Linked DNA regions of Oryctolagus cuniculus. The protein of the gene in region 2 interacts with the protein of the main gene of each other region in a pairwise test. Links are inferred from orthologs where the notes say so. Each region holds a gene or a part of one and is shown on either strand. Other genes may lie near its edges.

Region 1 (6,002 bases), on a different chromosome or scaffold from region 2:
GGGAAGCCCACCTGCCCCGGCGGCTCCTGGGTAGGGGGGTGGGTTCCCGCTGGTCTCTGTGCTGCCCCCCCCCCAATGCCATCGTCCTGCCCAGAGAGCAGAGTTCGGTCTCACAGGCGGGGGCCGGAGGGACCCTTGTGCCACACGGCCCGGGAGTCAGGCATGTGCCTGTGAGCGGACCCTGGGAGGGGGCGGAGGAGCCCCTGGGCCCGCCTCAGAGGTGCACCCCAAGCGGCGGGCACTGGCGCCCTCAGGTGTGGGGCAGGAGGCTCCCGTGGCCACGTGCCGGGCCGCCCCCACCCTCTTGTGGTCCCCCGCCCAGGTGCGTCCCCAGGCACGGTGACCTGGCCACCCCTGCCTCACTGCCCTGAAGCTGGAGTGACCCCCGCGTCCCCCTGGTCTCCGCCACCCCTGGCCCTGTCCTGCCCCTGCCTTCTCCCTGCCCCGGCCACGGGAGGCGGGTCTGTGACTTTGTTCTCTCTGGGGCTGGCTGGACGGGGCCCGGGGGAGTTGGAGCCAGTGGTGAGCAGGGCTCTCCTGGGTGCCTGCCCTGGGGCCAGAGTGGAGGTGACAGCTGGGTGAGGGTGCGGATTCGGCTGTTAGCAGGGGTGGGAGCTGGGGCTGGATTGGGAGCCAGGAGTCTGGGGGGCCAGGCAGTCGGGGTCCGGAGGCCAGACAGGGCAGCGGCCGGGGCTGGGGCTGGAGAACAGGTGGGTGCGGCCCAGGCATGGCTTCTCCCTGCCTGGAGAGGTGCGGGCAAGACGTGGTGGCCACAGCAGCGGGGCTGGCCACCAGGGAGCCGCTCACCGCTTTGCTGCCCGGGACACGGGCAGAAGCACCTGTCTCCTGCCGCCACAGTCTGCCTCCTCCGGGACCTAGGCTGGAGCGGGGCCAGGCCAGGCAGTCCCAGGGCACCCGAGGCAGGCTGCAGGGGAGGGGAGGGCGAGGGCTGTCTGTCCATGAAGCCGTGTGTGTCCGGCAAAGGCGCCCCCACCCCCGCAGGGGGCCCGAGCCCTCCGTGCCGGACCCCAATCCTAGAGGCCACGGGCACCCTGGGCCGTCCTGCAGGGCGGGGTCCCCAGTGCCCAGACAACCAGCTGGGGGACTGACAGCCTGCAAAGCTGGTAGACCTAGGCAGGTGGCGTGGGGCACAGGTTCCGGAATCTTCTCCGCCAATGGGTGCAGATCCTAGGAGGATCTGGGGTTCAGCGTCTCAGTGGCCAGGCCCCGGCCAAGCTGTCCTGGGGGTGGACACGTGGGCTGGCCTCACTGAGCGCCCCAGGACAGGGAGGGGAGCGTCCGGGGCCGTGCTTGGGTTGCTGTCTGAGCAGAGCCCCCGCCCCCATTCTCCAGCTCCTGCTCACCCCAGGACGCCACCCCCCCCCCCCCGTGCACACCTCCAACCAGGGCCGATGGCTGCGCAGTGGCGTCCCCAGGGTGGGGTTGGCGCTGTAGGGGAGGGGTGGTAGAGGAGGCCCCTAGGGGAGGCTCCGATTCCGCACCGGTGACTCGCCCGAGGGGCTGTGCACTGGGCGCCCTGCCTGCCTGCTCACGGCTGGGCGCTGCACCTGCCCCAGCAGCCCGGGGTTGGGGTCACACTCAGCTGAGGGGTGTCTGGGCCCTGGCAGGTGGGAGGACGGGCGCTGGGAGTCTCCTCCCAAGCCCCCCACTCCCAGCCTGTGTGTCCCGCCCCCTGGGGAGACCCCGGGCCCTGGAGCTCACCGCAGACATCAGGCGAGGCACGGCGCGCACGGGGCGCACGGGGCGGCTCGGCCTGGACTCCGTGTTCCGTGTCTGTGGAGGCTGCCCCGTGCCGTGTGCTGGGAGCTGGTGCCACAGAGGCCACAGCAGGACAAGCCGGGCTGGGGTCCCCAGGGGGCCGGTGAGACCCTGGGGGCCTTGAGATAGCAGTGGAGGGGCCGGGCCAGCACCGCCCAGCCCTGGGAGGGCGCTCCTGGAGACCGGGCCAGGCGGGACAGGCTCAGAAGCCGCCCGGCACCGGCTGCGGGCAGACCCCCGGGGTCCCGCACGGCCTGGGCTTGTGCAGGGGGAGAGCGGTGGCCGGGAGGTCCGGGTCCCCCCGCCCTGCCCAGCCCAGCCCCCGGGAGGCTGGATCAGGATTACGGCCTGGCCGCCCGCCCAGCCCGGCTGCTGACGGTGCTGATCCAGCTCCTGATCCCTCACGCCCCACGGCCCAGGCCAGAGGCCCTGGCTGCCCCAGAACCACGGTGGCCGAGCGCTCAGCCCCCCACCCGGGAGGCGGGGGGGCGCAGGGGCCCATGGCCACGGTCCGCAGGGAGGCCTCCGCCCTGGAGGCCCAGCCCGTGGCCCTGAGCCCGGCAGAGAAGGCCGTGTGCAAGGTGGTGTATGGGGCCCCCCGCCCCCGCCCGCTGCTGCTGCCCGTGGGCCTGGAGCTATGGCTGTACGTGCAGAAGATGCGAAACCTGCACAGGACCAGGTGCGGCGCTGGGCTGGGGGGCTGCAGGGCCGGGGCGGGGTCCGCTGCCGTCCTGGGAACCCTGCAGGGGGCAGGACACCCTGCCTGGTTCCCCTCCAGGGGGTCCCCACGGCGGTCAGCTCCTGGCCCAGCTTCGGGCAGGCGTGTTGGTGACCGCCAGTGCACCCCCTTGGACGTCCAGGCGGCCGATGCCACAGCTCTGGGTGGGGAGGGGTGCGGGGTGGGGGCTGGGCAGGGACCAAGCAGGCCAGCCGCAGGAGTGGGCTCTCGTGTGGCTGCTCTCGTGGTTTGCGTGGGCGTGGCAGCCGGAAGCCCTCCCCGGGGAGCGTGGCGAGGAGCCAGGCAGGTCGTGGGTGGCCTGAGGGCCTGGCCTCTGCTGGACTAGGGGCAGGGGTTGGTGGATTCTGAGCTCTGCCCGGGCGGTCACCAGGGCCGCCTGTGTCACCGTGCATACCCTGAGCCGTGACTGTGCGGGCGCTGTGCCCCGACTGCCCGGGAGGGGGCGACTCCCCGTGACAGGCAGGTGGGAGCCACCCGGGCTGCCGGCGGGGCTCGGCATAGGCCGTTTGGAGCAGGCCTCTCCTCCATGTGCCCGCCATCCCGAGGACCCAGGCCGCCCCCTGTCCTGGAGAGCCTCGTGGGGTCGGGGACACCCCCTGAGCACCAGGCCCCCGGTCAGGAAGGGTGGCGGGGCAGGGGCCGGCCCTGGTTCCTGGGGGAGGAGGGACAGAACAGAGCTCAGAGTGCAGGGGGCTGTGGTGGGCTGGGAGCCGGGGGGGCTCCCCAGCAGGAGGCCCTGAGCCTGGGGGTGCAGGGGGCTGGGGCCGCCGGCCCTTCCACGTCCAGGTGACCCCAGTACCCTGCAAACGTGGACATGGCCGCGTGGGGAGTGGGCTGAAGTGTGGGGCCCTGAGAAACCGCCCCGAGTAAGAGAGGAAGCCCCTCTTCTCGTGCCCCCACTGTCACTCGGTGGCCACACCCCCTCGCTGTGGGGCAGGGGGCGGGGCTCTGGTGGGGACGCTGGGCAGCACCCTGCGTTTCCTGCAAACTCCGACCGCGTCCAGAGCGCTGGAGAGAAGGCAGGAGTGAGGGGCCAGCTGCCGCCTGCCGGTCACGGGGCTGGGGGCCGGGCCGTGTGCCTCCGCGGAGCGCCTGTGGGGCCAGGGCAGCCTCACTGCCCGCTGCCCTGATGGCCGTGTCCCGAGGGCGCAGTCAGCAGGCGCTGGAGACCCCGCCGGGGTAGGGGGCTTTGCAGGGCCCGAGAGCGAGGGCTTCTGTGGCCCAGCCTGCCGCGGGCGCGCAGCCCTTCCCGGCCGGCCGCAGCGAGCCGCCTCAGCTCTGCGGGGCGGGGGTCCCGGTGGGGACCGGCTGACCCCTGGTGCAGCCTCGCCTCTGCCCGGAAGTGACCTCCAGGCCCCAGCCCCTCCCGGTTGGTGTCGCAGTGGGCGACGGGCGGGGCCTGTCACCGCTGTGGCCCAGCAGGACGGCGGGTGGTCCCTGGTCCCCGGTGTCCCGGGGTGGTCCCTCACCCGCCCCTCTGCCCTTGCCCAGGATGGAGGCCTCGTGCCTGGAGCTGGCCCTGGAAGGGGAGCGCCTGTGCAAGGCCGGGGACTTCCGGGCCGGCGTGGCCTTCTTTGAGGCGGCCGTGCAGGTGGGCACCGAGGACCTCAAGACGCTGAGTGCCATCTACAGCCAGCTGGGCAACGCCTACTTCTACCTGAGGGAGTTCGCCCGGGCGCTGGAGTACCACAAGCACGACCTGCTGCTGGCCCGGTGAGTGCCGGCACGCCGCGCCGCGCCCACCCCGCACACGAGCTGGCGGCCGGCTCCCGGAGTTCCCTGTGTGTGCCTCTGTGTGCCCTGCAGCGCCCCCCAGAGGCCGTGCGCACGCCTGGCCTGGGGCTCTGCCTCCCTCCCCGGAGCCCCTAGCCCCTGGGCCTCCTCCCGCAGCCCCTTGCCGGGCCCTGCAGGGGCGCCCCCCCGCCCCTCCTCCTCCAGGCCCTGAAGCCGCCCTGGCCTCCCGGACGGGAGCCTTGTGTGCCCGTCGGTACCTCGGTACGGGGCTGGGTGTGTTCCCGGTGGGCACGCGGCAGCTGTCTCCCCTGCAGCCCAGCCCCTCACTGCTCCCTGCTCCCAGGACCATCGGCGACCGCATGGGCGAGGCCAAGGCCAGCGGGAACCTGGGCAACACACTCAAGGTGTTGGGCCGCTTCGACGAGGCCATCGTGTGCTGCCAGCGGCACCTGGCCATCGCCCAGGAGCAGGGGGACAAGGTCGGTGTCGGCCCCGCCGCCCCTGCCTGTGGCCTGGGTCGGGGGTGGGCAGTCAGGGACGAGTGGCCTGGGGGAGCAGCAGCCCCTGGACACACAGGGCACCCCGGCTCCTGCCGGCGCTGCCGGGCCAGGCCCCGCCCCTCCCACGCTCCGCTGACTGCCCTGGAATCCGGATGACCGCAGTCACTGCCCGCAGGGCCCAGGAGGTGGCGCCGTCCCACTCAAGTTCTTGGGTCTCCGCCAGCAGCCTGGCCCTGCCCGGCTGGGGACATCCGGGGCCTGCAGCGGGGGACGGGGGCTCTGGGAGGAAGCCAGGCAAACGTGCAGGGGGCGGGCCATGGGCCCCGCTGTGCTGCCTGCTGTCCTGTGCCGACCTCCCTCGCTCCCTGAGGCCCAAGGGCAGCGGATCCCACGGGCATCAGAGGAAGATGCCCCCGGGCCCTGGCAGAGGAGGGGGCGTGGCCAGGGCACTGCAGGGCGGAGCTTCCCAGGTGGCCCCCCCAGGTCCTGCCCACACACTGTCCTGCTGCCCGCAGGTCGGGGAGGCCAGGGCTCTGTACAACATGGGCAACGTGTACCACGCCAAGGGCAAGCAGCTGTCCTGGAACGCCGCCCAGGACCCGGGGCACCTGCCGCCCGCCGTCCGCGAGACACTGCGCAGGGCCTCCGAGTTCTACGAGTGAGTGCAGCGGCCGGGCCCCGGACCCCGTTCAGACAGCCCAGCCCCGGGAGCCCCCATCATTCAGACAGCCCACCCCCGGGAGCCCCATCATTCAGACGGCCCACCCCCGGGAGCCCCATCATTCAGACGGCCTACCCTCGGGAGTCCCCCAGCTGTGATGTTCAGACGGCCCACCCCCGGGAGCCCCCCAGCTGTGATGTTCAGACGGCCCACCCCCGGGAGCCCCCTGCCCCCGACTCGGCGCCTGCTGCCTGGGGTGCAGGGGCCGCGCCCCCCGTCCCGGTGCCGGGAGGACGCGCTGAGGTGGACTTGGCCCCCAGGAGGAACCTGAGCCTGGTGAAAGAGCTGGGTGACCGCGCGGCCCAGGGCCGGGCCTACGGCAACCTGGGCAACACCCAGTACTTGCTGGGGAACTTCGCGGAGGCCACGGCCTTCCACAAGGAGGTGAGCGGGCGGGGGCCGCCGGACACGGGGGCGCGGGGCCGGGCCCCAGGCGCGCTCAGTGAGGCCCTGGGCCCTGGTCTGTCCCGCAGCGCCTGGCCATCGCCAAGGAGTTTGGGGACAAGGCGGCCGAGCGGAGGGCCTACAG
Region 2 (6,002 bases):
GCATTTATGCAAATATGAAAGATTTCTCATTACTGTAAAGTGGATGATGAAATAGTATTATAGATATCACAGTTAAAGATGGGCTATCAGTATATAACACTAAGTATCAACATGTTATTATTATTTTAATATCTTATCTGTTACATTATCATGTGACTCAGCTGAAACCCAAAGCTAGGTGTCCGTAGCCCGAGATTTTAGTCTGCCCCTAGAGGGTGAGAGCTGGGTGAACAGTGTCAACACTGTTAACAGTGCGGCAGCCTCTGTCCTCTGCTGGAGCTACTGCAGGCTGAGAAATTGAGGAAAGGAAATGTCTGGCGCCCCTGGGGTGGTACTGTTAGTACAGAAGAGTAAATCTCTCTCCCTATTCAAACAGGTCAAACAACTGCCCTGTCTTGAGAGGAAAATACACATTTAACGGTTCTTTAAATTGGAACTCTTATCCCTGTTTTGTAGCTGAGGAAAATGAGGATTGGAAAATCAATTGTTCAATATGTGTATTGTCCAAAAACGTGTGTGTGTGTGTGCACACACACTCACCCTTTCAAAATAGTTACTCTAAAATGATATAACGTAGTTACTCCTGTTATTATCCTTTATTCTTTTACATCAAATTCCTTCAATTATTAGCACTGATATTCTGAATTGATACAGTTCATTTGTATGCAGTTGTATATAGAATACAGTTTATTTTTATATGCTCAGTAGTGTGGTGTTCATACCAATCAAGATTCTATAACCCTCAAATTAGAGAACAAATGTTCACAGAAAATCTTGAATGGAATAAAAGTAAGAAAGACTTGTGTATAGACAGTGCCCAAATCCAATAGTACTCAGTATTTCATTTTGGCTAATTTCCCTGGCTATCTCCTACATAGATCTTAATTCTAGAATACTTTGCAAAATATATCACAATAAACTTTTACTTGCGTCCCCAAATAATACCGTTTGTTTTCCAAAGACTCTATTTCCTGTGGCCTTGACATGGTCTCACTGCTGTGTCTGCGTTTTCCTTTTAGATAGAGGAACTGGAGAAGCAGCTAGTCCTTGCCAGCTCAGAGCTAACGGAAGCACGCAGCGAACGTGACCAGTTCAGTCAGGAGTCCGGAAACCTGGACGATCAGCTTCAAAAGCTGTTGGTAAGACTGTGCGCTCAGATGCGGATGAGACTGATTCTGGGAAGGCTTTCACCAAGCTAGTTTCATTTATGAAAGGGCAGATGGTACACAGTGTTTGTACACACAGTAGACCATCCTAGACCCTGCTCAAGTTTTGCTCATAAAGATATTCTGTGTACTTCCTCTTTTATTCTCAGCAGCGCTGTTAAGGTGTTAGATAAGAAGGAGATCGGGCCGGTGCTGTGACGCAACAGGTTAAAGCCCCAGCCTGCAGTGCCGACATCCCATATGGGTTCTGGTTCGTGTCCCGGCTGCTCCTCTTCCAATCCCACTCTCTGCTATGGCCTGGGAAAGCAGTGGAAGATGGCTCAAGTCCTTGGGCCCCTGAACCCCATGTGGGAGACCCGGAGGAAGCTCCTGGCTCCTCGCTTCAGATCAGCTCAGCTCTGGCCATTGCAGTCATTTGGCGAGTGAACCAGAGGAATGAAAGACCTCTCTCTCTTTCTGTCTCTGGCTCCACCTCTCTGTAACTCTGTCTTTCAAATAAATAAAATAAATCTTAAAAAAAAAAAGAGATCTACAGACCACTGCAGACTTTGAGTTAGGTGCTGAAAGTTAGGTACTCAAGCCACGTTAAGTGTATTCCTTGTTCAGCCAAATCACATTGAGAACACATATGAATTCTGTATATAGAAATTCTTACTGGAAGATCGGGGGACACTATTTTACAAAGAAAAAGGCAATGGTGTTGTGACACAGGTTGAGAATTTTCCTGATCCCAAGTACTCGGGACCAGAAGTAGTTTGGACTTTGGATTTTTCAGGTTCTGGAATATTTATTTGCATATACCTAATGAGCTATCTCTGGGGTGGGATCCAAGTGTGAACATGAAATTCATTTATGTTTGAAATGCACCTTCTACATGTAGCTCAAAGGTAATTTTGCACAAAATGTTTAATGCATCTGTGTTTTGCCTGTGGCCCATTCACCACATGAAGTCAGGTGTGGAGGTTTCCACTAGTAACATCATGCTAGTGCTCAAGAATGTTGAGCTCTTTCTTGGAATACTTAGAATTTTCAGATTAAGGAAATACACTACTAGTGAGGATCCTCTTAGAGCTGCTGCATGCTGAGAGCTTTAGGCACCCCTTGATGTGCTCTCAGTGGTACGGCGGAAGTTCCTCTCCCTACCAAACCCTGTTCTAGGACATGGTGCTTCTGACTGGTACAGCCACCCCTCCTAGGCCCCAAAGGGGCTCCAGGGGGTGTGGCGGATGGAGAGCCAACCACCGCGTGTGGACAGCTAAGGGGCTCCGGGGGTGTGGTGGATGGAGAGCCGACCACCGCGTGTGGACAGCTAAGGGGCTGCAGGGGGTGTGGCGGATGGAGAGCCGACCACCGCGTGTGGACAGCTAAGGGGCTCCAGGGGCTGTGGTGGATGGAGAGCTGGCCACTGCGTGTGGACAGCTGTAAGCCTCAGGAGAACCTTCTTTTCTGGACGTGTTGCATATTTCTCAGCATTATCAGGCCTAATTTGAAAATCTTGCAGATCAAGTTTTCCTGGTTAGCACCGTGGCTCCTCAGTACCTTCCCCCAGAGCAGGCTGTCATCTTTCTAGTTCCTAGAAACTCTGGTTTCTCCTCTCCCAGTCTTTCCTGTACATGCTGCCACATTCATCTTTCTGAAATCCAGCCCCGATTACGTCACTCACCCACTCAGAGTACTCCCTCTAAAGTCATGGTCCCTCCCTCTCAAGACTCTGTCCCTGAGCCGGCCTCTGCTTTCCTTTCCAGCCCTTTCTCTCCCACTGCCCCACGCAAATCACACCTGCTCCTTCCTCATCTCTGCACCTCCACATTGTTCTCAAGTGCAACTCAAATGTAACTCATGTCATCCAGAGGCATTTTAATCCTTCAGTTGAGACTCACCCTACTCTGCCTTAGATCTGTCCCTTTAATGAAACTCGCAGCTGTCAAATCTGTGTCTTTCACTCTGACTGAGAGTCCTTTGGAGGGGGCTGTGTCTCCGTTTCTCCTACTCTATGTACAGTTTTTGCTCATAGTAAACCCTGACCGTGAGGTGACTTTCTTCGTAGCCAACTGCTACTCCAGTCCTAGCATTGGCCACTGTTCTGCCATTTCTGAAGCATGGATTGAATTACTGTAGTTATTTAAGTTTTGAGTATGTCCTTACTGCAGAAGCACATTTGATGTGAAGCATGATGTCTGTTAGAAAATTGAAGACTAAGAACAGAATGACCTTGTAAATCTACTGTCTGCTGTACTTTTCTTTTCATTCTATGTTTTTTGAGGTCTGGTCTCTGGAGGTTGACTTACAATGCTCAGAATTTTAAGTATGCAAAATGTTAACTTATTTTTCCAGGGAATAATCACTCCTAATCCAACCATCAATAAAGGAATCAGATTCTGAACTCGAAATTCCGCGAATCACATAAAAACTCCACAGATGACATAAGAAAACAAGAGTTTTACATGAGTGATTTTGCACCAGGGGCACAAAGTGTTTCTTGCCTCTTTTAGGCTGATCTGCACAAGAGAGAGAAGGAGCTGAGTCTGGAGAAGGAGCAGAACAAGCGCCTGTGGGACCGAGACACGGGCAACAGCATCACCATCGACCACCTGCGGCGGGAGCTGGACGACCGCAACATGGAGGTGCAGCGGCTGGAAGCCCTGCTCAAGGCCATGAAGAGCGAGTGCCAGGGCCAGATGGAGCGGCAGGTGAGAGTCCACACACGGGCTTGGGCCTAGCAGAGGCACGGACTCTGCAAGCAGTGTACGAAAAACCGGCATTGCCTTCCGTGGTTCTGATCATTCATCAAGCCAAGCACGTTAGGTTGTATCTCATTTGTGTAGTGTCCCAAAACGAACTCCTGTCCAATTGGCTTTTCATTTTCACTAGAAATTAGGAACATAATCAGAAAAGTATCAAACTTGTCAGGATATCCATGGGGCAGTAGGGTTGAAGATTTCCAGTAGGTGTGTCTTGTTTTCCCTCCAGGCTGATAGAGACTAATGCATGTTCTATTCCAGGACATCAGTAGCAAAATGTGGACTGCTTTCCTTTTTAAAAGTTTACTTATTTGAAAGGGAGAGAGATTAGGAGAGAGAGAGAAAGAAGTATGTCCATCTGCCGGTTCACTCCCCAAATGCTCACAATAGCTAGGTCTAGTCCAGGCTGAACCAGGAGCCAGGGACTCCATGGAAGTCTCCAGTATTGGTGGCAGGAACTCAAGTACTTGGGCTGCCACTGCTGCCTCCCAGTGTGCACATCACCAGGAAGCTGCATGAATTGGAATCAGGCACTCCTATATGGAATGCAGGCATTCCAAGCAGCAGCTTAGCCTACTGCACCGCTATGCCACCCCAAGTAGACTGCCCTCTTAACAGTGTACCATCAGTGTTAGAGGTGGTTCTATCGCCACTTACTACTGCAGGACTACAAGCATCCCACATAACTGTAAGCTCCCCAAAATGTGAAAGCACATCAGCGGGACAGTTGGCTTAGATCGACGCAAGCCCTCTCCCTATGATCTGGTCTAATTTGGGCAGGAAGCATGATGAAAGGAGCAACTGGAAGTTTGAATCTTACTCCGTTTGAAGTGAAGACCACAGGATATGAATATGGGAAAAAGCCATTATTCATTTTTCCCTAGGGTGGAATTAAGGAGATGCTAGGAAGAAAATGGAAAATAAAAGTCGTTGTCTTCACTCCTGCTACTCTTTCCCTCCATCACCAGTGTTATCTCTGTTTAAAGGGGAATAGCAGACATCCTCAGAGGAAACTTCCCAAGCTCCCCACTCTTGGAAACCATCACAGGGAAGTCCTCTCCACCTTGGTCCAGTTAACATTTGTCTGTCTGCCTTATACATGCTGATGATCTAGGATTCTGATAGCAAAACAGTTTGAGGGGCTTGTGTTGTGGTGCAGCAGGGTAAGCCTCCATTCGCAATACCAACATACCTTATCAGAGTGCAGGTCTGGGTCCCAGCTTCCCCACTTCTGATCTGGCTCCTTGCTAATGTACTGGGAAGGCAGCAGAAGGTGGCCCAAGTGCTTGGGCTCCTGCCACCCATGCAGGAAACCAGTATAGATTTCCAGGATCCTGGTTTCAGCCTGGCCCAGCCTGGCTGTAGCGGCTACTTGGGGAGTGAACCAGCAAATGGAAGATCCTCTCCTCACACCCCTGTCTTCACTCTGTTTGCTACTCTGCCTTTCAAATAAATTTAAAAATTTTTTTGAGTTATTCTAACTGGCTGTTATGCCATTTATGATTTTATGCTTTTGAGTTAGCTTGTTAAATTTCTTAAGGTTGCCTATACTTATCCTCTGAAATCCATGAATTCCCTTTTCCTTAACAATCAGATGGCAGCAATTCAGGGAAAGAACGAAAGTCTGGAAAAAGTGTCCTCATTGACTGCGCAACTTGAATCCACCAAGGAGATGCTCCGCAAAGTGGTGGAGGAGCTGACAGCCAAAAAAATGACCCTGGAGAGCTCTGAGAGGACCGTATCGGACCTGACTACTTCCCTCCAGGAAAAGGAGAGAGCCATCGAGGCCACCAACGCAGAGATCACCAAGCTGCGCTCCCGGGTAGACTTGAAGTTGCAGGAGCTCCAGCACCTGAGAACGGAGGGGGACCACCTCAGAAACGTGCAGGCGGAATGTGAGGCCCTCAGGCTGCAGATGACCGAGAAGGACAAGGTGATCGAGATTCTGCGACAGCAGATTGAAAACATGACGCAGCTGGTGGGCCAGCATGGCAGGACTGCGGGTGCTATGCAGGTTGAAAAAGCTCAGCTTGAGAAGGAGATCAATGACCGGAGACTGGAGCTACAGGAATTTAAGGTCAGTAGAATTTGGGGT

Evidence for each region.
Region 1: the proteins of CCDC158 (region 2) and GPSM1 interact in a two-hybrid assay, tested with the Homo sapiens proteins (2 studies listed by BioGRID and IntAct). The link is inferred for Oryctolagus cuniculus from reciprocal best matches to the Homo sapiens genes CCDC158 and GPSM1.

The regions. Positions count from the first base shown.
Region 1 is NC_091432.1:236,688,621-236,694,622, reverse strand, and holds part of GPSM1 (G-protein-signaling modulator 1), read left to right. Parts: exon of another isoform or gene 1-2,279; coding exon of another isoform or gene 2,280-2,458; intron 2,459-4,009; coding exon 4,010-4,231; intron 4,232-4,595; coding exon 4,596-4,731; intron 4,732-5,267; coding exon 5,268-5,410; intron 5,411-5,733; coding exon 5,734-5,857; intron 5,858-5,946; coding exon 5,947-6,002. UniProt on the Homo sapiens protein: Guanine nucleotide dissociation inhibitor (GDI) which functions as a receptor-independent activator of heterotrimeric G-protein signaling.
Region 2 is NC_091439.1:89,539,781-89,545,782, forward strand, and holds part of CCDC158 (coiled-coil domain-containing protein 158), read left to right. Parts: intron 1-1,019; coding exon 1,020-1,139; intron 1,140-3,658; coding exon 3,659-3,856; intron 3,857-5,501; coding exon 5,502-5,984; intron 5,985-6,002.